3 linked regions of the Nothobranchius furzeri genome follow. The protein of the gene in region 2 interacts with the protein of the main gene of each other region in a pairwise test. Links are inferred from orthologs where the notes say so. Each region holds a gene or a part of one and is shown on either strand. Other genes may lie near its edges.

Region 1 (6,362 bases), on a different chromosome or scaffold from region 2:
GAACCGAGGCCATTCAGGAAGCCAAGAACAAGATGGGAATGATTTGTGACGTTCACACAGGCTGAGTGGAGTCTCCCTTTAAGGCTTCGGCACACCTGCTGAGAGAGCGCCAGCGGCTACGCCCGCCCCGTCGAGGGTCCGGAGACCCCGGCGGAACTTCGGAGACGCACATCAACAGCAGCCATGAGATTCATTACCCACAACCTGGCCAGGTTCTGCTGGAGATGTAAAAGCAGACTCCTGAACCCTCCTCCTGGGTTTCCGGACACGAAACCAAAACATAAACAAAGATCAGAGAAAGGCCGAATGCACCGACAAGACTCCGCGGTCCTTCAGAATCCAGGCAAGCCGAGTGAGCTTCAGCTGTCACAATTTAAACTTCATGCGTCTGCAGCAGCGGCGGCGGCAGCAGCAGCAGGAGCGGCAGCAGCAGCAGCAGCAGCAGGAGCGACAGCAGCAGCAGCAGCAGCAGCAGCAGCAGGAGCGGCAGCAGCAGCAGGAACGGCTGCAGCAGCAGCAGCAGCAGGAGCGGCAGCAGCAGCAGCAGCGGCTGCAGCAGCGGCGGCGGCAGCAGCAGAGTCGACGCCCTCACAAAACAAAGGATATGATGATTACAGGCGGGAATACACGTCAGCAGGCACGCGGGACGAGCCCGGCCCAACATCAGGAGGCAAACGGAACCTCAGAGTCCGACCACGGTGAAGTCCAAAGCTGCAGGACGGAATCAGGAAGTGGAAGAAACCGAGAGGGGAACGGTGGCGCTGAGGTTGTAGGTGGAGTTTGGTGACGACGGGGGTGAAGCTAAAGGGCTGTAAACGGGCCGCGTGGAGAGGGACGGAGACGGGGACGGAGGAGCCGCTGTGGTCGGAGAGTCCGAGCTCACCTCGTCTCCTTCCTCCGAGTCCCAAACCTCACTCTGCAGATAGTCGGCGAACAGGGCCTTGGCCCGCTGCAGAACCCTGCCGAGGTTGTGGCGGCGCACCAGGCGGTCGAAGTGCATGGCGATCTCGTTGTAGTCCAGGTTGTTCTTGATGATGTGGTCCCGGTGCTCCAGCAGGATGGACAAGCACAGGAACAGCATGAAGGGGTTTCCCTTCCCGAACTCCTGAGGAGGAGGTAGAGAGCAGGGTTTGATGCTGGTGGTCTCCGCCTTCAGGGAGCCGGGCGTGCTGGCGGCGGCGCTGGGGGACCTGGGGCCCGGAGAAGACAACCTGCTGCCTCCGAAGGACAGGACGGGAGAGGACAGCAGGGACCTGCTGGGACCGTGAGAGGGGGAGGTTTTCACAGGAGGACAGCTGGTCTCTGCGGTGCTCAGCACCGGGACCGGAGAAGTCCACACTTTAGGGACAGTCTTTGACGAGGCCTCGCCTCCGCTGGCCGGAGATGTGGGATCGGGAGGAGAGTCGGGAGAAACTCCTGGCCAGCCGGAGTTTGAAACTGAAGATGAAGGAGAGACGGAATGTCCGTTTTTCCAGGCTGGAAGTCCACCGGGGAAGAGGGAGCGTGACGGTGCTGGAGAGGGACCGTTTGGACAGTTTGTAATGAGAGGCGTCTGTTCTCCTGGGTCGTCCTCGCTGTCCACGGTGGACTGGCGCCTTGGCTTGTCCCTCGCCGTGTCAGCGTCCTCCATGTCCATGCTGTCTTCACTCCGAGCGGTGTAGTATTTAAACTCTCCAAAGCTGGGTTGTCTCTGGCAGCAGCGACGCCGGGATTCCGACTCCTCCGCGGTTTCTGGAGCGTCGTTTTCCCTCCCAGCGTCTCCGGCTCGCGCCTCCTTCTCTTCAGCGAGGATTCTGCGCACCTCCGGCTCTCCTCTGGAAGGCCTCAGCATGTGCCGCCGACGCTGCTTCTCCTTTTGTCCCTCATCATCTCTATGGACATTTTCCAGGGTCCCCCCTCTAAAGGCCGTTTGTTCGGCCTCCACCAGCGGTCCCAGGAGCTCCACTTCCGTTTCAGGAGGATCCGGGGGCAGGGAGCTCCAGGTCACCTCCAGCATCCGCAGAGCATCGTCGAACGCAAACTCTCGCTTCAGCTCCAGGAGAAGCCAGCGGTAGCAGAAGAAGAGGTCGTCGGCTCCTCGGGACACCAGGTAGGTGTAGAATTCCGGATCCGAGTACTGCAGGAGAAGCTTCAGGTGCTGGAACTTGACGGACATGAGCTGCCCGTCTGGTCGGAAGTTTCCCTCCACGCGTTTCATGATGCCGCAGAAGCAGATGAAGGCATGTGCCTCGTTGTCCATGACTGCTAGGATGGGAGAGGCGATGTCACTCATGCCCTGGCAGTAGGAGATCTGGAAAACATCCCAGAATTCCACAAGTCCGTTAGACACCGGGACAAAGACAGCTCATGAAAAATGTTTTACAGATCCGACCTGAAGCCGAAAGTTCTACAAAGACTCATCGTCTGTCTGAACTCCAGAACGTTCTGGAATGTTTGGGAATATTTGGGAATTGTGAATAAAAAGCAGCAGTAAAGAAGTTTGAACACCTGGTGGTGAAGCAGCAGGACGCCTGATGATCAGCGTCTCTTTAGGGACGAGGTCATGTGATGGACTCACCTGAGGGTGCGTGATGGCGAACGCGGTGAGCAGGTCGGTGAGGGCGGTCAGGTGTGGACTGTCCTCTGAGCCGGCGTAGTACGAGTGAGCTCGATCCGTCCTCAGGACGTCCTTCAGAACGTTTCCACGGATGAACTCCAGCTCCTCGTGGCTGACCCGGGCCGTCCACTCCCTCTTCAGCTGCTCGTACTCCCTCGTCTTCCTCTTCATGTAGTCCATCCTCTCCTGCCCGCTCAGTCCGTCGGGATAGACGTTCAGGAGGTAGCGCCACACCACCTGACGGAGACAAACACTCTGTTTCTGGTTCAGTCACACCGTAACGGAATGAAATGACTGTTTTCCACCTAAAAGTCACCCCCCCAATGTGACCAATCTGTGAAATGAAAATATTAATTACTTTATTATAATCCTATAGAATATAATAAGTAATATGACTTTAAATGTTTCCACTAGGACTGATCTCACGTAGCGTTGAGAGACGACACATTACTTTCACTGATCCAATCAGAATCTGCCAGATCTGACGGAGGCGGGGTTTTGGTGGTGCTTGGTAAATCTGTCATCTTTTCATTCGACCGTAAACCAAAACATCCGAAGTATAAAACTATGCCCACGCCATCTTTAACGCCAGTTCAACACGTTCTAGAGAAGTTGTCGGAGTGGCCAATCCGTAACTTTCCTCTTCAGCCGAAAGAACCAACGACAAGCTGGATAAACCTGTTGCTGTTCCAACTGCTGCAACGGTTCCTTTCAGAATAAAAGCTGAACCATCACGACCCAGGTTTGGGTCTCACTAGATGCCAACAAAACTGTCGTGACCCGGAAGTATCTCAAGACTGGTCTGGTCGGCAACCGCTGCTTTTCTACCGGCTTCAGGTCCACAAGGTCAAGCTGGACCTCGACATTCCTGATCTAACGGGGACTTCCGAAAGGGTACGTAGAGCGACAGGATGGCGTCTCAATGTGTGTTTATGAATCTCCAAACCAAAGCTTAGCGTGAAGACATCACCTTCACTTCCATCAGAACTAATCGTTCCTCCGGATTTGCTGGTTCTGAACAACATTCCACATCACACCATTCTCCATCTCATCCACCTTAGTTACACCATACATCTAGTGTTTAAGTTAGTCTAGTTTTGATTTGTTTAGTAATAAATCTTTAAACTTTTAAACTTGACTCTCTTCTGTTGTCTCTGAGTGAATATGAAGCTGTTACATAATCCCTGCAATAAAAAGTTCCAGTCTTCTGGTTAAAAGTACCCAAAGATCCATAAGGTTGATTTCATATTTCCTATGGAATCTCATCTCTCATGGTTACAACGCATTTCTGTCATTTACACCAACGAGTGAATTAGAAACGTTTTTCTTGTTCATCGATTTGACGTCTGCTGGACTCAGCCGGCGAACATCTAAAGTTCTGACTGAAGTCCTGAACGAGGAGAGCTGTTGGGCGTTTTGGGCTCTCGTGGACCAAACCCACTAGGAGACCTCGGCACCTCCAGAACGACGAGCGAAGGAGACGTTCTGCCCTCTGAATCTGGACGTTCTAGCCTAAACCACCTCCAGGAGCCCGTAGAACCGAGCGTTAGCGGAACAGGAGCAGAAACCTTTCGTAGCGACGGCTCCACGCCACCGTGGTAGATCCTCAGCCGTAGTTCTTCCGGCCGGGTCAGCTGGCCCTGTCCGTTCAGGTAGCTGTGGAACTCCGAGTCGCTCAGCGGAGGTTTGAAAGGTCTGATCTCCTCCCCATAGGACCAGGTGAAGGCCTGCTGGACTCGAGACAGGGTCCGACCCACCTGTAAACAGGTACGGACGACCCGTTTGACGTGACAGAAACTTATTTTGGATGAGAAGGTGTCTGAAGTTGGACTTCAAGTGAAGTTTAAAGAAAAGCATTCTGATTTTTATGCACCCACCACCCACCCACCCACTACTGGTGACCTGCTGACCTGGGACAGTAAGGACTGGGTGAAGGGGAGAGCTGCAGAAGCCAACGTCCTGGTCCTCTCAGTAAGCAGCTCAGAGCCAATCACGTCTTTGGGACTGATGATGTCCCAGTCCTCCATGACTGGACCTGCAGGTAAAAAGAAAAGGATGAAGTTCTATTCCCTCCCCTCGTGCTTTTGGACAACTCTGGGTCCTTACTGTCCTCTGAAGGCTTCACGTCCATCTTCAGCTGCAGGAACGGTTTAGCTGCGCTCATAAACGCCACGTCCAGATCCCAGTCCGACAGCAGAGACAGGTGCGTCTCCACTCCGCTCCGATCCCGGGACAAGTAGCTGATGCTGAAGTTCCGCTTCCTGGTTTGATTCAGCAAACAGACAAAAGGTTTATCCACAAGCCCTCGGCAGCGTGTTGGGATGGAAGTCACCTCCTACCCGTTCAGGTCGAAGGCTCGGATCAGGATGTGCTGCAGAACCTCCAGAGACGTGATCTGAGGATCCACAGCAAAGGAGCGAAACTCGACAGGAAGAGCGCCGTCACATTTCTGGAAGGAATCAGATCAGTGGAACATCTGGGTGAGACCGGGACAGGCTTTGGAGAACAAAGCTGGGTCTGAACGCCGCTGATGAGAACGCAGACATTAACCACCGTGGGACCATGTTTATGAGTAAACAACAGATGTTTTATCTGTAACTGCAGCTTGGTGATGGGAGCTTGCATTAATGAACCCTTTCTCCATTCAGCTCAAACAAGAGCAGCTGTAGCCGAACCTGATGTGTGTTCAGCCCTGGAGGTCAAAGGTCGAAGCTAAGAGACGTTAACCACAAGTAAATAAATAAATAAACAAATAAACGTTTTGACTAAATAAAACCTTCAGAACATCAGGAGGAACTTCTAAGATAAAGTAATGACGTCAGGATGGAGGCTGAAATAAAATTCCTCTCGTGGCTCTTCCTCTCCAGGTAACATTTGACGTCACACGGAGCAGCGAGGTGACGTCAGCCCGCAGCTTCGGCGAACTGCTCCGAGTTGGACAATAATCACAAAGAACGACAGAAATGGGAATCGATCAGAACGAGCTGAGACTCGGAGATGATCGATCAGCTCCTGCTGCTGTCACCGCCGCAGGTTTCAGAGCCACAACAAACAAACAAACAAACGACCGACACACACACACACACGGCCTGGGTTCCCCACAGACTCACTCCTTCTTCTCCCATAAGCAGATAATTGTGTTTCTGTCCGAGTTTATTGTTTTCTCCGCGTGTGTCTGACAGAAATAAACACAAGACCGAACCGGGACAACGGCGTCGTTAGCCGCCAGCGGCGCGCGGTTAACATCCTACCTTGACTTTGACACGAACCACCCCCCGCTCCTCCTCGCCTGCCATCCTAAAGACTCCGTCTGGAAACAGAAACGTTTCTAGGAAAACAGTTTCCGTTCACACCGACATGGTCACCGTGACATGGTGGAGCTAGCGCCGACAGAGCTCCACTGGTCCGGGATCTTCTTCTGTTTTCGTTCTTTACAGGAAGTTTTCAGTAGAAACACCGCCACCTGGTGGTCGAACCCCGAAACCGTCACTTCCGAACGCATTCAGGATAAATGGGAAATCTTAACTTCACAACAATCAGCCAAACTCTGATCAGTGTTTTAGTTGTTTCTGTTAGCCCCGAACAATCGTAACCGATCCATCACCGATCCAAACTCTTCAGTAACAAAACGAATGCATTTCAACGCACATCATGGGCTTTATTCTGGTTGGAGGGAAACATATCCAAACATGTCCACGCATAGTGACTTTGCCCTTAACTGGAACACGGGTTAGTATGTAAAGGCAAATAAAGTATTCTTTATCAC
Region 2 (11,260 bases):
ATAAGAAAATAAAATCTGAAGGTAAAGATGAGCGAACAAGATGTTGTTTGTTTATAGTTTTTTTTTTCCAGGAAAGACAAGTCTGCGCATGCTCAACCTATTTAATTTAGTGACGCATGTAGACTCAAAGCATGATCAGATCATTTTAGTTAGTGTCCATGTAAACAGAGATTTGGGATTTCAGATCATTTTGAATAAGAAAGGTAAAAACTGGCACATGTAAACATAGCTAATGTTGAAATGCATGAATCTAAATAAACAAAATAAATGTTAAATCACTTATCAGATCATAAGCACTTTTAATAAGAAACTTGAAACATTAAAGATAAATTCGATGCTGCATTTCATCTCCAACTCACACACTACTCAGATTATGTGCTGACTCATTAGAAACCACACACCATGTGACCAAACTTGGTTCAAATTCCTGTTGGTTTATCATCCATGTGGTACATGTCCGGTTAGGTTGAACCAATCTTATGATCATAAGCACCATTTAGAGTCAAGTAAGAATGGAATCCTAACAGAATAAAAACTGCTTTTTACACACATGATCTAATTCAGCTGCATCTCTCTGGCACAGTTTTTTCTCCAAAATAGTGACATTTAATGTGTAGGCAAACAAAAATAATTGCTTTGAACTTTTACATTTTGCATAAATGCTCTGGGTGTTGTGTTATGGCTGGGGTTAAAACTCTTAATATTTTAGAAAGAGTTCCACTGGACAGCAGCTGTTTAGAGCATTTAAACTCAGATTATGATTTTCTTTATGCCAAGCGCCTCTCTGGTTTAAGGTCCTTCATCCAATTAAGAACAGAACTCAGATTTAAGTGTATGTTCTGTAAAGACTGAGAACAGGTCAGTCTAAAGTCATTTGTACCTGTACGTCCCAGCTGCTTCCTTACACAACAGAGCAAAGTCCAACCCTCTCCACACTGGATGGAAGTAGGGCTGCAGCTATCGAATATTTTTGTAATCGAGTACTCTATCGAATCTTTTATCGATTAATCGAGTACTCTAAATTACTTTTGCGTTCGTAAACCCTTATATCAAATAGCATGTTATAAAATATAAAAGACCTCTTGAAATGAGCAAGCAATTGCCAGTTATTCTTCAAGGTTTATTCAAAATTAGTTTTCAAAACTTCAGCACTTCAACTTTACTTTACAGTAAACAAATGCGAGCGGCTGCGGCCCTAACAGCACCAGAACTGCTCATGGCGCATGCGCAAGCATGGCTCGCCAGCTGTTTCCCTATTAACACACGTCCGTTTTAATTTCTACACTTTTTGTCTCACACTAACAAGGATTGTCGAAAGCATGTTTGCCGTGGTTATGTCAAATTATACTGATCATAAAACATCTATTTACTTTCTTTCGTTTTCCTCCGCCACTCTCATAAATACCTGTGTTCTCCTGCAGCAATCCTGAGGGACAACAGACATCAACAACAACACAATAAAAAGTCTGATGTGTTGTAAAAACTGCTATTTTTAGCACATTTTAAGACCGACGTGTTGCTACCAGACATACGGTGTGAGCTGAAACCAAGTGCTACAAATGAAAAAGTCACACAGTGTCTGCCGAATATAAGCAAAGCCATGAATTAATTAAACATGAATTAAACGAAGCCTCGAGGCAGAGAATTTGACTCGAGGATTTTTTGTACTCGAATTATTCGAGGTACTCGAGGAATCGTTTCAGCTCTAGATGGAAGCAAAACAGGTTTCTCCAATTATGTATTTACTGATAATAAACAATTAGGAGGACACGTGACCGGGGGTGACCCTGCATACTCACAGTGTTATACATCATCAAACACTAAAGCCGTTTCCTATACCTGACCTAATATTAATTTTTGAAAATGTCAGCGACACACCCACAACTCTGGACAGATAACTATGTTGCAGAGTTAATTAAAAATTAGCAACTTCTTAACTAAAAATTAAAACAATTCATTAAACAGGAGCAACTTGGAACTGTGATAGCTTAAAAGAACCAAAGCAGAGCCACCCGAATGAACTTTTATTCAACATTTGATCTAAAAATATATTTTGGGTTGTTTCCTGCATAAAATCTCAAAGCAGACCGACAATAAGTCGTTACACATTCTCCAAGTTTTTGCTTTGAGATATTTGTAGGAATGAAATGGTGGAATTCGACAAACATCTCTAGTCCTGTTGGACAACTAACTGGCTGTACGGCACGTGTAACGACAAAACTGAAAGAGCCTGAACGTTTTACAAAAGTTTTCAACAATCTCTGAATTAAGTACAAATGCTTCACCTTACGGCATAAGATTTGGTTTGAATCAGTAGATCAGCTATAGATCAACTCCCTTGAAACAGGTTTAATAACTAGCGTGTGATTAAATAAAAATAAACACAGATCATCACCCACATTTTAAGTGTGTGTGTCGGGTGAATTAAATCCGTACAAAACAAGACACAGAAACACACAGATGAGATTTACCAACCCCTTAATTTGCATCAAGAAATGCTTTTAAAGTGTTATCCACAAATCACCTGGTTAAGGAAACCCACTTATGTTGACATAATCATAAGAACTAGGGGTGTAACGGTTCACGAGGGTTATTTGAACCGTTTCGGTTCAGGCAGTTCGGTCCACTTGCGTACTGTTTAGGTGTATTTTTTCCATTAAATAATGAAATTTTTACACATTTGTGTGCCTTAAGTGCAGCGGATAAAAGTTTCTTGGCGTTTCCGCACGGACGCTGTACTGAGTGACGCATGATGGCTGCATGCGCCCGGTCTCCATTTAAAAAATGTGATCTGCAAATTCTGATCAACGTGTTTCAAAGCAGATCATACCAACTGGCTATCGCTGCTACTGTGGAGTCTGTGTAGCGACCGTATATATATATATGTCGATGGTAGAGACTGAGCATCGTGTCGCCTCACCCTCCCTTCTCTCAGTGTGCAGGCACGCAGCGGCAAACATGTAAACAAACATGTCTGCTGAACTTTTCCGCTGTGACAACTGATGTAAAATTTTCATCCTACAATGAAACATATGTTGCGGATGACGCTCATTATTTAACACGAGTTTTAAAGAAGAAATACTAGGCGGTGTGAGGTGAGTTTTTAAGAAATAAAACACGTCAAACACAACACTCGTCTGTATGAGTGAGCTGCGCAAATCATAGGCATGAATATGTAGATGCCCCATTGGGCGCTGGAGAGTGTAACAGCGTCGCCGCCGCCATGTTGGATGGGTCTCCTCACTTTCCAAAGTCAATGCAGAGTGAGCAACTATGCCCCTTTCTGTGCAGCCTACAGTTACAACCAGCATACAATTGAAAACAGATCACGTGGGATTACTAGTGACTTTTCTAGACTACCTGATAGGATTTTATATTTAATATTTATATTTAATTTTATTATATTTTAATTAGAATGCCATATCTTGTGTTTGATTTTGTGAAAAAGCTTGATAAAACATGTTTTTTTGTTGGGTAAGCCCCTTCCTCAGTACAAATGAATGCACTGGGGGCTAATCTATCTAAGGCGGTCGGCCATTACGGCATCTCCAATAGACAGCGTCAGTCCACGAGACATCTATGTATATATGTCTGTGGCGCAAATAACCTGTGAAATAATTACATACATCATGCTAGATTAGCAGCCTGTGATGACACCTGGTTCTGCTCACTATAGGAGCAGCTTCAGATATTAAATAAATAAATACATCTAATAATAATGTACCGAAAATTAATCAAGCCGAGCCCTTCAAAACACTGAACTGAACCGAATACAAGTTTAGTGTACCGTTACACTCCTAATAAGAACTGAGAGTATGTGGCACAAACATACTTGTAACCAAGCTAGGAGCCTGGCTACAGCTCAACACAACATTCAGTACTAGAAATAAACAACATCCCCAACATGATCCTGTTTTGCAAGATGCCTGTAATAAATATGCAGCCCACCAAAGGGGTTAATTAATGACCTACAATGGTTTTACATTTGTGTGAGAGAAAGCAGGGAGAGAAATCTTCCCTCTAGATGTATAACTTTTACAATTTTATTATTTTCTACATAATCACTGGTCTAATCGGTGCCCTCATTGAAAAAGAAGAAGAAAAAGAAAGTATCATTTCTATAGCGTCTCTCAAGATAAAAGTCACGAGGCGCTTCACAAAAACAAAAAATGTAAAAATATAAAAAAGAATTTAGAAAATGGTTAAAAATATATTTAAAATTAGCAAATAATAGACAATTGTGATTAAAAAAATGTAAAGAGAGAGAGTGAATAGGAAAGAGGGAAATCAGTGGATCCTGAGGAAGGTGGAATAGGTGGGGAGAGCAGAATAAAGAGAGAGTGGTGAAGAAGGTCATACAAAAGCCAGCTTGAACAAGTGAGTCTTCAGCTGCTTTTTAAAGGAGACCACTGAGTCCACTGATCTCAGGCTCAGGGGGAGAGAGTTCCAGAGTCTGGGGCCACAGCAGCAAATGATCTGTCACCTTTGGTCTTTAGCCTGGTGCGCTGCACAACCAGTAGGCTTTGATCACTGGACCTCAGGGACCTGCTGGGGGTGTAGGGACTAAGAATATCACCAATGTACGATGGTGCTTGTCCATGTAAGGCCCTATAGACCAGAACCAGGATCTTGAAATGAACCCTGAAGTTGACTGGCAGCCAGTGAAGCTGGAGGAGAAGCGGGGTGATGTGGGTGTGTTTGGAGGACTTGGTCAGAAGCCGAGCACAAGCATTCTGAACCACCTGCAGACGGTTGAGGGAGGTTCTTCTCAGACACGTGAAAATAGAGTTACAGAAGTCTAAGCGTGAGGAGATGAAGGTGTGTATAACTGTCTCAAATTCAGATCGGGACAGAATGGGACTCAGCTTAGCAATGTTCCTGAGATGGAAGAAGGAAGAGTCTCTGACTTTGGGAACCAGCTTGTCTGGGGCACAGATGAGGATCTCAGTCTTATCTTCATTCAGCTGTAGAAAGCTCCCATATCCAGGTTTTGATAGAGTCTAAGCAGGTGTGTAACAGCTGCAGCTTAGACATCTCATGGGACTTAAAGGAGATGTACAGTTGGATGTCATCTGCATAAAGATGGTAGGAGACTCCTTTGAAGAAGCTCAGGATGTGCTAAAGAGGAAGCAGATAGAGGAGGAAGAGCAGAGGCCCAAGCACAGAACCTTGTGGGACACCATGGGTAAGAGAGGTGGTGGAGGACCTAAACTTGGAGACGGCCACAGAAAAGGAGCGCTCAGAAAGATAAGAGGAGATCCACTCCAGAGCAGTTCCTGATAGGCCTACCCAGTCTCTCAGCCTCTCCACTAGCAGGTGATGGTCAACGGTGTCAAAGGCTGCAGTCAGGTCCAGCAGGACCAGAACAGAACAGTCCCCTGCATCACCGTGAGTCAGAAGGTCATTAGAGACCCTATTATATATATATATAAAATATAAAATATTAAAAAGTAAAATTGACTGCTTTAGACGGAATATCTCCAATTTCTTTGATGTGAATGATCCTGAGCCCTTTTGTTTTACTTTACTGCCATCAAACCAGTCAGCTAGTCTGACAATGATGCTACATCTTAATAAAACAGCGGTATTTGTAATGCACCTGCTGTCATCCCGCAAGTTAACTCAACAGGCCCCTCATCAGAGCATCCTAGTAAAAGTGAATTGAGGCTATTATCTCTTAATCACTGGACATGTTTAGGAAACAACACCTTACAAATTCACACAGCCTCGTAAAATATAAACGTCGTGTTAACAGGAGACATTGGATCAAGTCTGAGATTTCTACGCCATTTCAGGCTACATCCGAGGCTTTAGGCCTAAAGCTAAGCTAATGGTAACAGTGTTATTGACGATGGGTGGCTCTATAACGCAAACATGCTTTTGAGGCCTGTATGTATGGACACAGATTAGGATGTTAATTTGATGTCGTGACAGGTGTTGGGTGGACATTGACTGGTTTGGTTAGCAAGCTGAGGCTAACACCCCCACCCTACACGTCAATGGACAAAAGGCCAAAACATCTAACAGTATGTCCACAACGGCTACATTATAGTGTGGACGGGAAAAATCGTGACTGAACTCCTCTTTTACTGTTCTGATACCGCCAGTGAGAATTTTTGAAGTAAACAGGTAACTTATTGGGGAAGAATTAGAGCTGTCATCCCACCCCTTGCGTCTCTGCTTTTCCCACGTCATTGGACTATCCAACACTGCGGAAATACGCCGCTAGCAGCTAAATACTAGCTAAACGCTAACTGCAGCTTACCCGTGTCCCCGATGATGATGTATTTGAAGAGATATGCATACGCCATGGCCTCTAGGGTTTGCAGTCAGCTGTCTCAACCGTTACACCTTCGTAAAACCAAGTGCGAACCGTCTAAGAAGAGTGTCTGACAGCTCGTTAGCCTGTTTTTCTGTGTCGGTTCTCAGGAAGGAACAATAAACAGCAAGAGTCTCGGCTCAACGTCATACGGTCCGCCCCCGCCACGCTACAGAATGATGCGTTCATGTTCAGCTCGAAAACTCAAAGGTGTATTTCATTACAATGACAGATGTGGAAATGAATATTAGAGTGCTAACTACTGGCTCTGTCGTCATTGCACAGATTTCGCTGTGTCTTAAAAAAGTACATTTTGATCTATTGACGCATAGGTTCAATCCATGCAAAAATATTCTTTATTTTATTTATTTGCTTTCTTGAACAAGGACAGCACAAGAGACAATTGTTGCATGTAATGGCAATGCAACCGTTGCTTTGCTTTGTACAGAGGTTTTCTAGCCAGAGGCTAATTTGCAAACCTAGTCCTTGGTTTGACTTTTAGATATAATCAAAATAACATCATTTATAACATTTGTCATCTCTCTCTCTCTCTCTCTCTCTCTCTCTCTCTCTCTCTCTCACACACACACACACACACACACACACACACACACACACACACACACACACACACACACGCACGCACGCACGCACACACACACGCACGCACGCACGCACGCACACACACACACACACACACACACACACACAAAGCAGATAAATTAGTTTGACTAAGAAACATCAGTGCTTACAAGTTTGAGTTTGTTTCAGCCACTTTTTTGCCTGGGAGTTAAAAGTTGTAAAGTGTCACAGTTTTTTTGTTGATGGTAGATTGTTCCAGATCTGAGGTTCTTTAAATGAGAACGAGGATTGACCAAATGATGTTTTGTATTTTGGTGTTTTACAGTCTCTGTTGGCTACTCCTCTGGTTGTAGCTCCTGTGTTGCTGGCTTTTATAATCAATCTGCTCACCAGCTCTAGGACATATATTGTATATGAAGCCGGCAGGCTGGAGCACTCATGTAAATAACACACACACGCACACGCACACGCACACATTAAACATATATATAAATACACACACACCATAGACACACACATATATACAATTACAACAACCCAGGATTCTGTAGTTATAAAATATAGACCTAAATTTACTTTTTAATAATGTAAAATTGTTTATTTAGACATATATGTGTTTATGATCCATGAAAACTTAATGTGTTAAAAGAAATGACCACTAGATGGCAGAGTGGTTGTCTGACTGGAAAAAGGATTCAAACCCGGGAGACGGCAGGAAAAGATGGCGCAGCGTCCTGGCGATCTTTCCTCTGAAGTAAGTAAAAGTTGAACCTGCACGCTTTGCACTCCGGTTATAATGAGACAGCTATTATTTTTGACCATTTCAAACGTTTTATAGGTCTGACAGCCAGATTCATACACTGTCCTTATTTCTGTGTTAGCAGGCGCTAACGTCTGTGTGAGCTAAGCTAGGTTAGCCATTTCAAGCTGTTGTGAACATAGATATGAAACTAGAATAGTATTTGTGCGCTGTAAGATGAACAGAATTATTCAGTTGTACTGCCAAACTTGCATTTGAATTTGTTCAGGTGACATCAAGGGCATAAAAGCTGCTTAGCATAGCATTGTTTTGCAAGGTTAGCTTACAGCCTGTTTAAAATCCATCTATTAAAAATGGGTTTCAATCATTTAGCAGCTTAGTTACACAACTGTATTAACATGCGTGCCAAAGTGAAGTTGCTGTTGTTTTGAATGTGTTATAAACCATGCTGAAAGACAGAAAATTCACTGAACAAGCCCGACCACAACTCCCAGAATGCACCGGACAGGGAAGCGCCACTTTATGTGTGCGCACAATAACAGTGGGACAGTTTACATGCGAGGAGATGTATTTAACTCACAAAATAAAATCACAAGATTGATAAACAAGTTTTTTTGGTGAAGCTTGGAGGATTTTTACTGCTATTGTTGAGCTTTTTTCACTTTTTGAGCATTTGTTATGATGTGTAACCATGGCAACAAGCTGGTTAACAATCTGAGCGGCTGAATAACATTGGAAAGGCTGAAATAATACCTCAAGTGAAGCCATGAATCCCAAATGAGCTAACACGCAAGAAGTGTGAATGCAGAGCGGGAGCAAAACGGAGACAAAGAGGAAATACAAACCATCTCCTCCATGTCACGATCTGCCCCTGCCCGCCTGACTGTGTTCTTCTCCTGCCATGATTGCCCTTATTGTTCTCACCTGTCCCTCGTTTACCTGCCCATGTTTCCCTAATTAGCCCTCTGTATTTATACCACCTGTTTTGCCCCTGTCCTTTGTCAGATCATTGTTGTTGTTTGTTGGTGTTCCTGTTCATCCCATCCTGCCATTAAACCTTTTTTTTTTACTTTTACTGAAGCCTGCATTTTTACCTCCTGCTCAGCTCATCCACACATGGTCCGCCGTCTCCACCTCCTACACCGTGACACTCCATCGATCGTAATGGGCAATGTGAGATCACTGGCCAACAAGATGGAGGAACTCCAAGCCCTTTCAAGGACTCAGCCAGAGTTTCGGCAGTTTCAGAACCGCTGGAGGAGATAATGCAAAGAAGGATTCTCCAGAGAATCAAGAAAATTATGGACAACCCTGAGCATTCTCTTCACAAGACTGTCCGACAACGGAAGAGTGTCTTCAGTCAGAGGCTTCTTCAGTTTCGCTGCAACACTGACCGCTACTGGAGATCCTTCCTGCCAACAGCCATTGTAATATACAATAACTCTTTGATGACTTGATTATTATTATTATTCTGAGCTACTACAGCAATCAATTTCCCTCTGGGATTAATAAAGCATTTTTGTATTTGAATTGAATTGAATATATTAGTGCTGTGATAAATAACATGTTATTTTAGTTAATTAATGTGAAACGTTATATTATGGGGAGAAAATTTTTTCAAAAGATTTGTGCATGTGTGTCTAAATTTGTGTGTGTGTGTGTCTAGATTTATGTGTATCTAAATGTGTGCGTCTAGATTTGTGTATGTGTAACTCTTGATTTGTAACTTGTGTTTAAATTTTCGTGTGTAACTTCAGCTCCTAAACATACAAATCATTGAATACACACACACACAAATCAAGACAAAACTACATCACACACAGATCAGTTTACACTTACAACAATCCTTTTGAGACTTTTCTGAATTTTCTTAGGATTCTGTAGTTATAAAAGATAGACCTAAATTTTCTTTTTAATAATCTAAAATTGTTCATTTAGACATATATGTGTTTCTGATCCACGAAAACTTAGTCAAAGTGTTATAAGAAATGACCACTAGATGGCAGAGTGGTTGTCTGACTGGAAAAAGCAGGATTCAAACCCGGGAGACGGCAGGCGAAGATGGCGGGGCGTCCTGGCGATCTTTCCTCTAAACCTGCACGCTTTGCACTCCGGTTATAATGAGACAGATATTATTCTTGACCATTTCAAACGTTTTATAGGTCTGACAGCCAGATTCATACACTGTCCTTATTTCTGTGTTAGCAGGCGCTAACGTCTGTGTGAGCTAAGCTAGGTTAGCTATTTCAAGCTGCTGTGAACATAGATATGAAACTAGAATAGTATTTGTGCGCTGTAAGATGAACAGAATTATTCAGTTGTACTGCCAGACTTGCATTTGAATTTGTTCAGGTGACATCAAGGGCATAAAAGCTGCTTAGCATAGCGTTGTTTTGCAAGGTTAGCTTACAGCCTGTTTAAAATCCATCTATTAAAAATGGGTTTCAATCATTTAGCAGCTTAGTTACACAACTGTATTAACATGCTTTCCAAAGTGAGGTTGCTGTGGTTTTGAATGTGTCATAAACCATGCTGAAAGACAGAAAATTCACTTTACAAGTCCGACCACAACTCCCAGAATGCACCGGACAGGGAAGCGCCACTTTATGTGTGTGCGCAATAACAGTGGGACAGTTTACATGCGAGGAGATGTATTTAACTCACAAAATAAAATCACAAGATTGATAAACAAGTTTTTTTTGTAAAGCTTGGAGGATTTTTACTGCTATTGTTGAGCTTTTTCACTTTTTGAGCATTTGTTATGATGTGTAACCATGGCAACAAGCTGGTTTACAAACGGGAGTGGCTGATTAACATTGGAAAGGCTGAAATAATACCTCAAGTGAAGCCATGAATCCCAAATGAGCTAAAATGCAAGAAGCGTGAATGCAGAGCGGGAGCAAAACGGAGACAGAGAAAGAGGAAATACAAACCATCTCTTCCATCGATCATAATGGGCAATGTGAGATCACTGGCCAACAAGATGGAGGAACTCCAAGCCCTTTCGAGGACTCAGCCAGAGTTTCGGCAGTTTCAGAACCGCTGGAGGAGATAATGCAAAGAAGGATTCTCCAGAGAATCAAGAAAATTATGGACAACCCTGAGCATTCTCTTCACAAGACTGTCGACAACAGAAGAGTGTCTTCAGTCAGAGGCTTCTTCAGTTTCGCTGCAACACTGACCGCTACTGGAGATCCTTCCTGCCAACAGCCATTGTAATATATACAATAACTCTTTGATGACTTGATTATTATTATTATTCTGAGCTACTACAGCAATCAATTTCACTCTGGGATTAATAAAGCATTTTTGAATTGAATAGAATAAATATATTGTTAATTTTTATAATAATAATAATAATTATTATTATATAATTGTTTTTAATTTATATATATATTAGTGCTGTGAAAAATAACGAGTTAATTTAGTTAATGTGAAATGTTATGGGGAGAAAAAAGTTTCAAAAGATTTGTGCATGTGTGTCTAAATTTAGGTGTGTATCAATATTTGTGTGTGCGTGACTAAAGATTTGTGTGTGCGTCTAGATTTGTGTGTATCTAAATGTGTTTGTATCTAGATTTGTGTGTGTATAACTCTTG
Region 3 (11,142 bases), on a different chromosome or scaffold from region 2:
CTCAACTTTAACAAGATTCCCAGTCCCTGCACTGGCCACACAGCCCACTGCATTATGGAACCACCACCGTGTTTTACTGTAGGTAGCAGGTGTGTGTGTGTGTGTGTGTGTGTGTGTGTGTGTGTGTGTGTGTGTGTGTGTGTGTGTGTGTGTGTGTGTGTGTGTGTGTGTGTGTGTGTGAAAGGATGAATGATACACTGTAGTGTAAAGCGCTTTGGAGTCCTCTGACACTGAAAGGCGCTTTACAAGTGCGGGTCATTTATCATAAATTACTCTACTGACACGTTTAAAATACTAAAAGTTCAAACTGTATTGAGTCAGACTCACCCCAACAAGAAGGAGAGCATCAGAGAAGCTCTTGCACAAACAGTCTACCTCCGCACACATGGCACACGTCAACCTGGAATACCAAACACGGATTATTGTACTGCAGCGTTCAGTCTTTCCCCGTGATTCACACATGCTGTAACCTCACTCTGCCAAAAAGTTCAACGTCTTTAGCTTAACAGAAATGTTCCCAGACCAAAGTTCTACAAATGTCACCAAAGACCCAAAGTACACAAGAACAGGTTTACTCCCGTCCCACCACAGGACATCACATTAATGAGAGTTATTTCCATGGGTGAAATTCCTTAGTGGGAATGTCTTTAAAGTAAGTCTGTTTCTCATGACGTGTGTTTGAATACCAGTGCATGTACCTGGTGAGGATCTGGGCCTGGTCCCTCGCTGGTTTCTCCAGATCCTGACCATGGAGGATGAGTTCTGCCACCTTGTGGAGCTGCTCGATACTGCGAGCAGTCACCTCCGCCAGGCTGCCGACTGACGACATGTACACAACCTACAGAGGGAAAGACAAACAACAAAAACCAAACACACACAGTGAGACTGCCGAGGAGGACACTGGCTGCATGAAGAAGGTAAACTAAATCATGAGATGACCTCTACTGATCTGGCGTCACTCTCTTTTGCTTTCTTATCTTCGTTCCTCTCCTGCAGCTCCTCTCCATCTTTCTTCTCCTCCTGGCTCTCTCCAGGGGAGTCCTCTCCTCCTGGCTTGTCCTGCGTTTCCCTGACAACCGTATCCGTAGTGACAGGCTGCTCCACCTTGTTCACCCATTCATGGGCCCTCATTCGAGCCTGGAGATGCATAATTACCACCCATCAGCGCTGCATGCTAAGAGCTGATGTATGCTGATGAGATGCATGTCCACGATTCGATGCTAATGTCACTTCTATGAACGGGAATGTTATAATGCTGGAGATTTGCAGAGGTGATGACTTTATTTAATATTGTCTCTAAAACTGCAGCAGGATGCCAGCAAGGCCAAGAATGTGTGTTCGGGATGAGTCATCATTGATGACTGTAATTTTTATATTTGGTGAAATGATGAGTCCTCACATCCAAACTGGTTTTAACTAAAATGGTCAAACTCGTGTTACCTTGTTGAGTTTGTCTGGTGTTGCAGCAACATGAAGCTCAAACAGCAGCTCAGTGAGAACGCTGACAAACTCCTCACCATCAGCAGCTGATAAGAACAGACAAACCAGTCAGCAGAGATTAGCTCACACATTAAAATCTAGCTCTGACACGCCCACGTTTGGACTCCCTCCATGCATGGATTCAAAGGATCTGTGCAGGTACCCGATTGATCTTTTCATGCCAAATTAATTCAACAATTTATCACAATTACGTTTAGATGCACGGCACACATGCATGTTTTGATTGTGGATTGTTTCTAGTGTCTTTCGTCAAGGTGAGTGTGACGCTGGTCCCTGAACACCGACACTGGATCACAACCCATTTCAAGATGGCCGCTATAGCTAATCAGCGTTGGCGAACACAAAAATGGCTCTCACTCTGGGTGTTAGTAGCTCATATAATGTGAGCGGTAGCAGATCACACATGTGATGTTTTGTATGAAATGAGTTTTCAGTTTGTTGCATGGTGGTGCAGTGGGCAGCATGGTTACTTCGCAGCAAGGTTTGAATCCTGGCTGCAGCTTTTCTCTATGAACCTGCGTGGGATCTCAGAGTTCTCTGGTTTCCTCCCACAGACCAAAAGCATGCATGCTAAATAAGTGTCTGCAGAGTAAAATAAATATAAATATAGAATTTGATCATCACTGGAACCCTAAACCAACATTCACATAAAAAAAGAGCTTGTCTGGAGTAAAGCGTAACCTCATGAAGAGATGTTTTGTTGTCCGGCTGAGTCTAAAACCTGCCAGTAGCACATGATGCATCAATAATGGCTGAAGTTCAAAGTTCACCTATAATCATGTCAGACTGCTTTTATCAAGCCTCCTAAGACCACCTGATCCTGGGTCAGTGCTCAGGGACGGCTCTACCTCTGGCTGCTCTGGATCACTCACATAGAGGGGTAGAACATTGTGTTTGGGAACTTAGATCACCATTATCCTTCGTCTGTCCTCCGTTTGCCTCTCCTTCCTCTTCTTCTTGCTGCTTGATGAAAATGTCTCTGATGAAGATCAGCTCCTTCTTCACCTCATCCTGCTCTTCCTCCGCCAGAGCGGACAGGAAGGCTTGGACCTAAGCGTGAACACAGCGCGTTACGTTCACCATGACTAAACAGACACTTTCTGACCGGTAGTGTCTGCTGCTTTACTTGAGCTTCGCTCTCATTAGACAGAATCTCCAGGGCCTCCAGGTGTGACAAACCCTGGTAGTCATCAAAAAGAATCCCGTAGTGAGCGGTGGGTGCGCTGACAGGCTGGTTGTTCAGACGTGCACGCTCCTTCTCCTTCGCCTCCTTCAACATCTGAAACAGAGCACAGACGTTTGGCGCTGGGTTTTCTCACTCAGAGGTAGATGGACTGGTTTGTGCATGCCTGACTCAGCGAGGCAGTTTTCTGCATCAGGGTCTTAGTCTTTTTAAACCCAGGGTCACTTTCTGCGAGAACAGTCATGGTCTTCTTTCCAATGAACTCCAAAGCATCCAGACCTCCACTGATTACCGACTTACCCTGTAGAGGCAGGAAAAGCACAACACGAAAGATCACACCGCTTAGTTCTGAACTTCCATCATGCTAAATGTGTGTGTGTGTGTGTGTGTGTGTGTGTGTGTGTGTGTGTGTGTGTGTGTGTGTGTGCTCACAGTGTTCTGCATTGCATTTGTGATTGTAGAGAAGACGCCTCTGCTTGAAGCTGCAGCAGGAGCAGCACCTGATGTTGAACACTCCTCTGAGTTGGACAGGTCAACATGGCCACCTTCTCCCCCATCCTCCTGTTCTGCTCCACCTCCATCGCCCTCCTCCTCCTCCACCTCCTGAGCCTCCTCACCTACCGAGGCCTTGTGGAGACGAAGAGCCTCTCCTGCCTTGACCTTAACAGAGGTCAGACTCTGCCCTGCACGCAGAAAGTCAAAGACATGGTGGATGAGTGTGTGGAGGGGGACAGTAATAAAATGAGGTATTACAAGTTAAAATAGGAGTCGTACCAACGGTGGAGGTGGCACTGCTCAGGAGAGATTTCCCCCATGAACTCCAACCTCCCCAGCTTTTCTGCTGGAGAGACATCTGTCCACACAGGGACATTTAAATAAGTCACTTACTATGTTTATAATGCAGAGATGCTAACAGGTTTTTATTGAGAGACACTTGTTTAGTTTATAAATAGTAAAAATAGAACATTTTTGATCAAAAACACTGTCTGAATGAACAAAAGCTTTCAGACTTCCCTCGTTTAGACATCAGTAATGTCCAAGTGGAAGTCTGGAGGCTAAGAGAACACAGCGGGTTCTCTTCTTCTCCTCCTGAGTGAACATTAGTCAGTTAAAGTCATAATGAGCAAACACCCCAATCCAATAGGATTCACTGGCTTTATTAACTTTATTGATCCAGCAAAAGAGATGAATAAACAGCTGATCTGAGCTCAGCGTTTGGTATGAGAGCAGTCTGATGTGTTAGTGTGCAGCTAGATCCCCAGGTCAGTAATCAACGGATGCACAGAGGGAATATTGTGGGTGTGTCAGTTGTAGATAAACCAGGTCTTACAGAAAATTGTGTATGAATTTTAAATCTTTGCCCTTAAAACACTGATTTAAAAAAATATTTTACCTGAGGGGCTAGAGGTCACCGACTTAAGAAACACTAACAAAAAGCAAACATTCACCTCCTCTTTTGACCCGTCGGCCTCTGGCTCCAGGCTCACTGGTTGGTCACATTCAGTCAGCTGATTTTCAGCAGGGGGCTGCGGCCGATCCTCTGATGGGTCAGGTTTGGCGCTCGTATCCTCTTCTGCTGTCTGCTCAGCGGACAACTGAAGTTCAACAATCGTGGGGATGAGAGGAGGCTTTGGTGAAGGGGACGGGTGCTCAGAGGACACTGGGACATCCTGACAGAGACCCAGATCAGATGGAGTCCTGCTGTCAGTGCAGGGCTCTGCATCAGAGCGGGAAGCCTGGGACATGGTGATCTGAAACAGGATGGACCCGCTAAGCAACGCATGAGCTATAACGGATCTTTCTCAATGTCCCAAAGCAGGACATTTAAATCCCTTGAGAAGCAAAAACAAGTAATATATTCTCCTTTAGACTAAATAAGTGAACTGGAAAACACAGCCAGTCCTTCAGCCCAGATTAAATACCATCAAAAATGCAGATCAATTCATGTGCATAAAAACAGTTAGCAACTTTTCTCACATTACCATGGTGGTTAAAATAAAACTTAACCATACTGTGAGCTAAATGTTTGAGAGGGGATGTAAAGAACTCATTACATTTTAATCATTGTATTGTTTGCAGAACAACCTAAATAAAAACATCCTGCCCTGAGACGATCATCCTACAGAACCCTTTTGTGTCTAAAATATAAAAGGAAACACTGATTAAAATGGATAAACAATGTCGCCACCTTGTGGTCACTTTCTGCAAATACATTCATAAGACATAATGTCACCCTCTTTGATTTGAGTTAGTTTTGTTTGTTTACAGGCAGGAATAAGTTATTTAACTAAATGTCAAAAGACAAAATCAGTAAAGCCTTATCTTAAATTGTGTGTATGCACAACATGCTATGAAAAATATACTATATAAATGTGTAGAGTTGAATTTCATTATTTTAAAGTTTATTTTTTAAATAAACACACATTTTTTTCGGATGGTGAACACAGATTAACAATTTTCCCTTCAAGCACAAATTTAAAAAAAATCCAATCGGTATAGAGCAGTAAACTTTTCCATAAATAATTTTCTACAGATGTCTTTTTAAAATAAATCTGCTTCATTTTAATCCCGTTCAGAAACACTATAATAGCAGCAGAACAAAGGAGTGAAAACTTAGAGACCAACAGAAAACACCATTGTTATTTTGTGTCTATAAGCCAATAAATCAAGAATTCCTCATGACAAGTTACGCCATCGCATTTCCAGTACTTTACTTAAGTCACTACATTATTTTAGTTTGTTTAGTTGCAGCTTTTTAGCGCTGTAGTTTAAACGAACACGGAAAGTTGTAAACCTCAGATGATTTTGTTTTCCAGAAAGAGCACAGCTCACCCGTTCAGTACCAGCCAGCACAGCGTCTTCCGCCCCGCCACGTCGGCAGGTCGCGGAGCACTGTAAGCGTCAAAGAGTAAACGCTGCCAAGATGTTTCACTGTCGAACCGCGGGGTCTTGACCAATCCAAGATGGCGGCGCCACCGCTCGTCGGGCAGCGCTGCGGCCTTCACCTCTACGGTGGCCTGTAGGTCCCGTCTCAGCCGTGGCGGCAGCTACGCGCAAAAGGAAAAATGCTAAAGCTAGCGAAAATCGAGCAGGAATATTAAGGAGCTACAGCAGCTTCACGTCCATCAGCAGCGTTTGTTCACAAACGTTTTCCGGTAAAGTAATTTTTTTTTATTCTAAAAGTCTTCAGGACTTACATGTTAACTTTAGATCGTTTCGTGTATGTTTTAAGCTACAGAATGAACTTGTTAAACATACACAACACAGTGTACAGAGGTAATTAATATAAACCAAATCCATTAGAAATGTTAAATGCAGTCGGATGTTTTCTAATGTAAATTGGACCTTAGAACTTCTTATTTTGCATCAAATGGGGGTAAAATGCTTTAAAAACAGGCTTATTAATAAAATAGTGTTTTCAATGTGCATTTGTTTATTCAACTTAAGCCTAATGATTAGATCTGTGTTAAAATGTAAATTCTCTGTAGTTTTTAACTATTCCCTGCTGCTTTTCTTTAAACTGAACAGAACCAGTGTACTGCAGGTTATATGTTTTGTTTTACATTTTTCAAAAAAAAAACTCTTTTAATCTATTACAGGCATTCAGCATGCACCGTGCTGCACATCTGCATCTGTGCTGGTGAAGTTTTAGGCCTGGAGGATGGGCCTGAGGAAGATGTGTGTGGAGGAGGTCAGTGGCGCTCTGTCCTGGAGGAGGTCCCAGCAGACCACCACTACTGTTAACAGGCAAGTCATTTATGTAGGAACCTTTATTAAAAACAACACTGTGGTTTAATTTGCTGAAGAGTCACAATTGTTATACCAGTGGATCCATAAACCATCTCCTCATTTCATATTTCTGAATACATCTTAGAGATGTAACAGCCGTCGTCTGAGCCAGCCCAGCAGGTCCTGTAGATGGACGATGGAGTGGACAGTGAGAGGAAGCGTCCCAAAGCTCTCTCTGCAGACCGTCCTGTATGATGTTCCTCTGGCCAGAAACGTCCAGCCACGGGTCTGCTCCAGCCCTCCATCCACGTCTGGATTCTCCTGCAGCAGATCCAGCTGCACTGTTAAAGACTTCCTGCTCACTCAGTTTAAATAAATGATCCAGGAAGAGTCACTCAGGTTAATCCTGCTTTAACCGTACAAAACTGGTCCATACTGGTTTTGATCTGTAAATAAGTGTAACCTATTATAAATAATCTTGTCTCCTTACCATCTTTTCATTTTCTGTTCATGTAACATGTTCAAAAGCATCTGTAATTAATAAAATTGGTGATAAAATCAATGACCAGAAAGAGTTATCAGTTAGTATTTGTTTTAATAAACGTGTTCAAATATCAAACAGCTAAATAACATTAACATGATTACAGTAGAAGGCCTCTCTCCCAGGAGGACCAACAGGTAAAGACTGTCCTGACCCTGGACACCTGCAGTCCTACAGAGAAAATCAGAGCACAGGTGACAAAAAGGCAATAAACACAGTTTTACATTTATCCACATGAGAAGATAAAAATTATATTCTTCACACAAACTTTTTACTTAAATAAAACGTGTCAGCTGTGTAAATCCCTGAATGTAAAACTACTTTTCACAGCAGAACTTCTGTGGTTGTGTGTGTAAACAGCTTCACTCTTCACCTCTAAACTTCATAAAACGTTCTGTTGTCCCTAAAACATGATAAGTTTAACTCGCTACACACACACACACACACACACACACACACACACACACACACACACACACACACGGTGATAAAACACCTAATAGATAGTTGTTTCATCATTCATTAGGGAGACTGGACATTTCTCCAGACATCTACTATGAATCTATTAACACTTCAGGTGTGCAGCAGGTCATTAAAGTTAACTTCTTAGAATCATTTAAAGAAAAGGGTCCCAACAGTTTTGGTTTTTGAAACATCTACGTCATCGCCATGAAACGCAAAATGAAACTACCCTGAAGTTACTTTTAGGCAGTAATTCTGACCGATGCTCATCCTAGTTAGCTGTTTCACCAGGTCGTGGCACTGATGCAGCAGGTCTGATCATCTGTAGGTGTTGCTGCTAATCACAGCTGCTCACTAAATGAAAGCCTACAGAAGATAAATCAACAGCTTTAACTTTCTATAACTTAGTCACCCCATGATTGTTCTTTTAGATCAGAGGTCCCCAATCTCCGGGCCATGGACCGGTACTGGTCCTTGGGTCATTTGATACCGGGCTGCACAGAGTTTTTGCGGCTCCATGCATCGTTCTAGAATGGTAGCCGTGTTTTTTCCAGGGCTTTAATCCTGGCAGTGGAGAGGATAATCAAATATGACATCAAACAGCAAAACACGATTTCCTTCTCTTTTGTTTAATAGCAGATTGCATTTAAAAAAACATGACTTTTGAAGTCTTGAGGGATTTTGTGATCTCGCGAGTTAAGAGAGGAAGCTGTTTCATGGCCAAGACTCTCCCAGTGTGTAATGGACTGCACTGAAGCCAGGGGCACCTCCAGAAAATTTTGATAGGGGTGGCCAGATGGGGCCAAACAGTTTTTTGGGGTGGCACACCAAATTGGTCCTTGTGACAACTCTGGGAGAGTTTAGCCTGTGGTGATGTGTTGCATAGCTCCTTTATTCATTTTCATTAAAAAGCAGCATGTATCCAAAACATTTAACTTGATTTTACAAACACAAATATTTCAGAACAGTACATTTCAGTTATTTAAAATGTTATTCCAAATTTTATTTAAAATGTAATTTTTTAGGTTAATTCACCTGTTGCTGTGTTCAAACACATACACGCGCGCGCGCCACCGTGAGTGGAGCCCAGACCGTAAAATTAGCCCACAGGTAGGACGTTTTGCCAAAGTAGGACGTTTTCTCAGAACACCGGGTCTACCTACCTCAGAGGCAGCACTAGCTCCACAGACACACTCAGCCATGGCTAACATCGCAGTCCAAAGGATTAAGCGAGAGTTTAAAGAAGTTCTCAAGAGCGAAGAGGTGAGTCTCTACCACAGTTTGTTCTTACACTATCTGGGTTGTATTTGGTTTAGATCGTGATAAACTCTTACTGTGACAGCAACAATTATGGGAAACAAAATAACCTGAAGTCTGTAATGCAGCAGCAGGTCAGGCCCTAGCAGTCAGAACTTTAGCTAGCTTTAGCCTCACAAATGCCCGGAGCTCTCCTGCTGTGCCAGGGGTGTGTGTTCAGGAAACACCGGGGATTGAGCTCTATCACCCGACAGGCCCAATGTGACCAACAACAACACCACATACTTTTTTAGAAAAATGTAACAAGCCTCGTATGAAAAGTAGCCACCATTGTTCTTTCTGTATTCACTAATATTGTCATTTCTACGCAGCAGCTTTTGACTAGCTGGGGAAACGGTGTTATGACATCTCATCTAGTTAGCATTAGCATGTTGTGTTGAAACGTAAACGTCGATAAACCTAATCTGTTTGAAATTATTGTTCCCGGTTCTTTATAAACCGTCTTTATTTTGCCTTTTAAGGTGTGTTTTAGATCATCTGTAGACAACGGTGTCTCGCTGTGCTCTAGCAGCTAGTGGTCTGCTTTGCTAATGTAGACGTCCTGGTTTTACTGTAACTGCTATAAATGGACCAATCAAACGAACATTACAGTTTCCGCATTTAACCACCTTTCACATGTAAATGGGAACTAGGGATGGTAAAAAATGCTTTTGGTGTCCCTGTTTTTGTCCCAATCCTCAGACAAGTAAAAACCAGATTAAAGTTGATTTAGTGGATGAGAACTTCACAGAGCTGAGGGGGGAGATAGCAGGACCTCCAGACACGCCGTACGAAGGTACCATCTCTCTCCTACACAACACTCAGATCATTTCATTCATTTACTCTCAACGTTTCTTTTTGTGTGGTCTCTCTCCAAGGTGGCAGATATCAACTTGAAATAAAAATCCCAGAAACATACCCTTTTAACCCACCAAAGGTAAATGTCCCTCTGCAATAGTGAGTCTGTCTTATGCCCTTATTACTTGTTTGAATCAAACATCAGATGACTAGTGGAAGCAAATTCTTGAAATGCTGAGTTGGGAGACATTTTCTGGTCACTCACCTTTGAATCAGCGGTGATGCAACTACCTAAGTTGGAGCCATTCAGTGACAAAAATGTGTTTAGGGAATCCATTTTGGCTGTTTTGTGTTTAAACTTTATAAATAACTACTCATATCTGTTGTAGCTTCCTGAATGTCCTCAGTTTGCATCCATGAGTACTGATCTGAGAATGTTTTTATTGTTCACATATGAGATCTAATGAGGTAGTTATCCGTTTGCAGCGGCTCAGCAGGAAAAACAAGTGTGACAACAGAACATTTAACATTATTGTAGGTACAGATGTAAATGAAGTGTAAGATGTTACGTATGTCATGCTGATGAAAATGACTGGTTTTCTGTTTCTTTTAAAACATATATGCTAAATAATCTTTTCTTGCTCACTTGCTTCAGGTGCGTTTTATTACCAAGATCTGGCATCCTAACATCAGTTCAGTGACCGGAGCAATATGTCTGGACATTTTAAAGGACCAGTGGTGAGTGTGGAGGGTGAAAGCTTGGTGATCTCTGGGCTTCAGTGGTCAACTGTCTTGTGTATCTACTCCGACATCTCACCTGTCTCACCCAGGGCAGCTGCGATGACCCTCAGGACGGTGCTGCTGTCTCTACAGGCCCTTCTTGCTGCAGCAGAACCAGATGATCCACAGGATGCAGTAGTAGCAAATCAGGTGGGCCCGACTTCCAGGGTTAATGTTTAATTTTGGGTAGATTTACCCTTTTGGTAATTATGGTTCAAAATTATGGTTCAAAATAATATCAATAATAATTGTTGTTTTTGTAAGGTATAATGTTGCAGTCAGTGTTTTCTGGTTTGAATTTCCAGTACAAACAAAATCCAGAGATGTTCAAACAGACAGCACGGCTGTGGTCGCACGTCTATGGAGGCGCTGCTGTCTCCAGTCCCGACTACACACGAAAAATAGACAAACTCTGTGCCATGGGCTTTGATAAGGTTAGAACCACTGTTCAGTTTTGGTTGAACCACTGTGAAACTTAAAGGTGTGGAACACTCGTTTATTCAATACATTTGCAGTAGTCTCTAGTAGGAATAATACATTTGCCGACTGCAAAACTTCCTCAGAGCTGACGCTGATGGTGGCGTCACTTCCTACTCCGTTTATCCGCGGGCAGCAGAGGACGTTGTCGCCCTCTGCTGCCTGCTCTCCCCTCTCCGATGATGCAGTCCCATGCACGATCCAACGAGTAAACTCCATCGTCTCTGTTCATGGTCCCACATCTACGTCTCCTTATCTCTATAGCTTCTTTTATCCATCTTTTGTATTTCTGTTGTTCGGTGTTTATGATCCGTGTGTTGTCCCAGTCCATTACATGGTTTTCTCTTGTGCAGTGATCTGTTACGGCTGACTTTTT

Evidence for each region.
Region 1: the proteins of rab2a (region 2) and tbc1d25 interact in binary tests that used the Homo sapiens proteins (3 or more experiments, as listed by UniProt). The link is inferred for Nothobranchius furzeri from reciprocal best matches to the Homo sapiens genes RAB2A and TBC1D25.
Region 3: the proteins of rab2a (region 2) and fam114a1 interact in binary tests that used the Homo sapiens proteins (3 or more experiments, as listed by UniProt). The two-hybrid records come from large-scale screens. The link is inferred for Nothobranchius furzeri from reciprocal best matches to the Homo sapiens genes RAB2A and FAM114A1.

The regions. Positions count from the first base shown.
Region 1 is NC_091755.1:45,663,492-45,669,853, forward strand, and holds tbc1d25 (TBC1 domain family member 25), read right to left. Parts: upstream 6,029-6,362; 5' UTR 5,893-6,028; coding exon 5,848-5,892; intron 5,046-5,847; coding exon 4,936-5,045; intron 4,858-4,935; coding exon 4,703-4,857; intron 4,632-4,702; coding exon 4,507-4,631; intron 4,354-4,506; coding exon 4,165-4,353; intron 2,834-4,164; coding exon 2,558-2,833; intron 2,291-2,557; coding exon 725-2,290; 3' UTR 501-724; downstream 1-500. UniProt on the Homo sapiens protein: Acts as a GTPase-activating protein specific for RAB33B. Involved in the regulation of autophagosome maturation, the process in which autophagosomes fuse with endosomes and lysosomes.
Region 2 is NC_091751.1:59,000,866-59,012,125, forward strand, and holds the start of rab2a (ras-related protein Rab-2A), read right to left. Parts: upstream 6,485-11,260; 5' UTR 6,312-6,484; coding exon 6,266-6,311; intron 1-6,265.
Region 3 is NC_091747.1:79,447,634-79,458,775, forward strand, and holds the start of fam114a1 (protein NOXP20), read right to left. Parts: upstream 5,638-11,142; 5' UTR 5,516-5,637; intron 4,435-5,515; 5' UTR 4,429-4,434; coding exon 4,132-4,428; intron 3,537-4,131; coding exon 3,458-3,536; intron 3,367-3,457; coding exon 3,116-3,366; intron 2,985-3,115; coding exon 2,850-2,984; intron 2,780-2,849; coding exon 2,627-2,779; intron 2,551-2,626; coding exon 2,373-2,550; intron 1,527-2,372; coding exon 1,441-1,526; intron 1,138-1,440; coding exon 940-1,137; intron 839-939; coding exon 699-838; intron 401-698; coding exon 328-400; intron 1-327. Other genes in the region: ube2kb (ubiquitin-conjugating enzyme E2Kb (UBC1 homolog, yeast)), read left to right, coding at 8,616-8,678, 9,414-9,507, 9,590-9,648, 10,165-10,247, 10,340-10,439, 10,595-10,723. UniProt on the Homo sapiens protein: May play a role in neuronal cell development.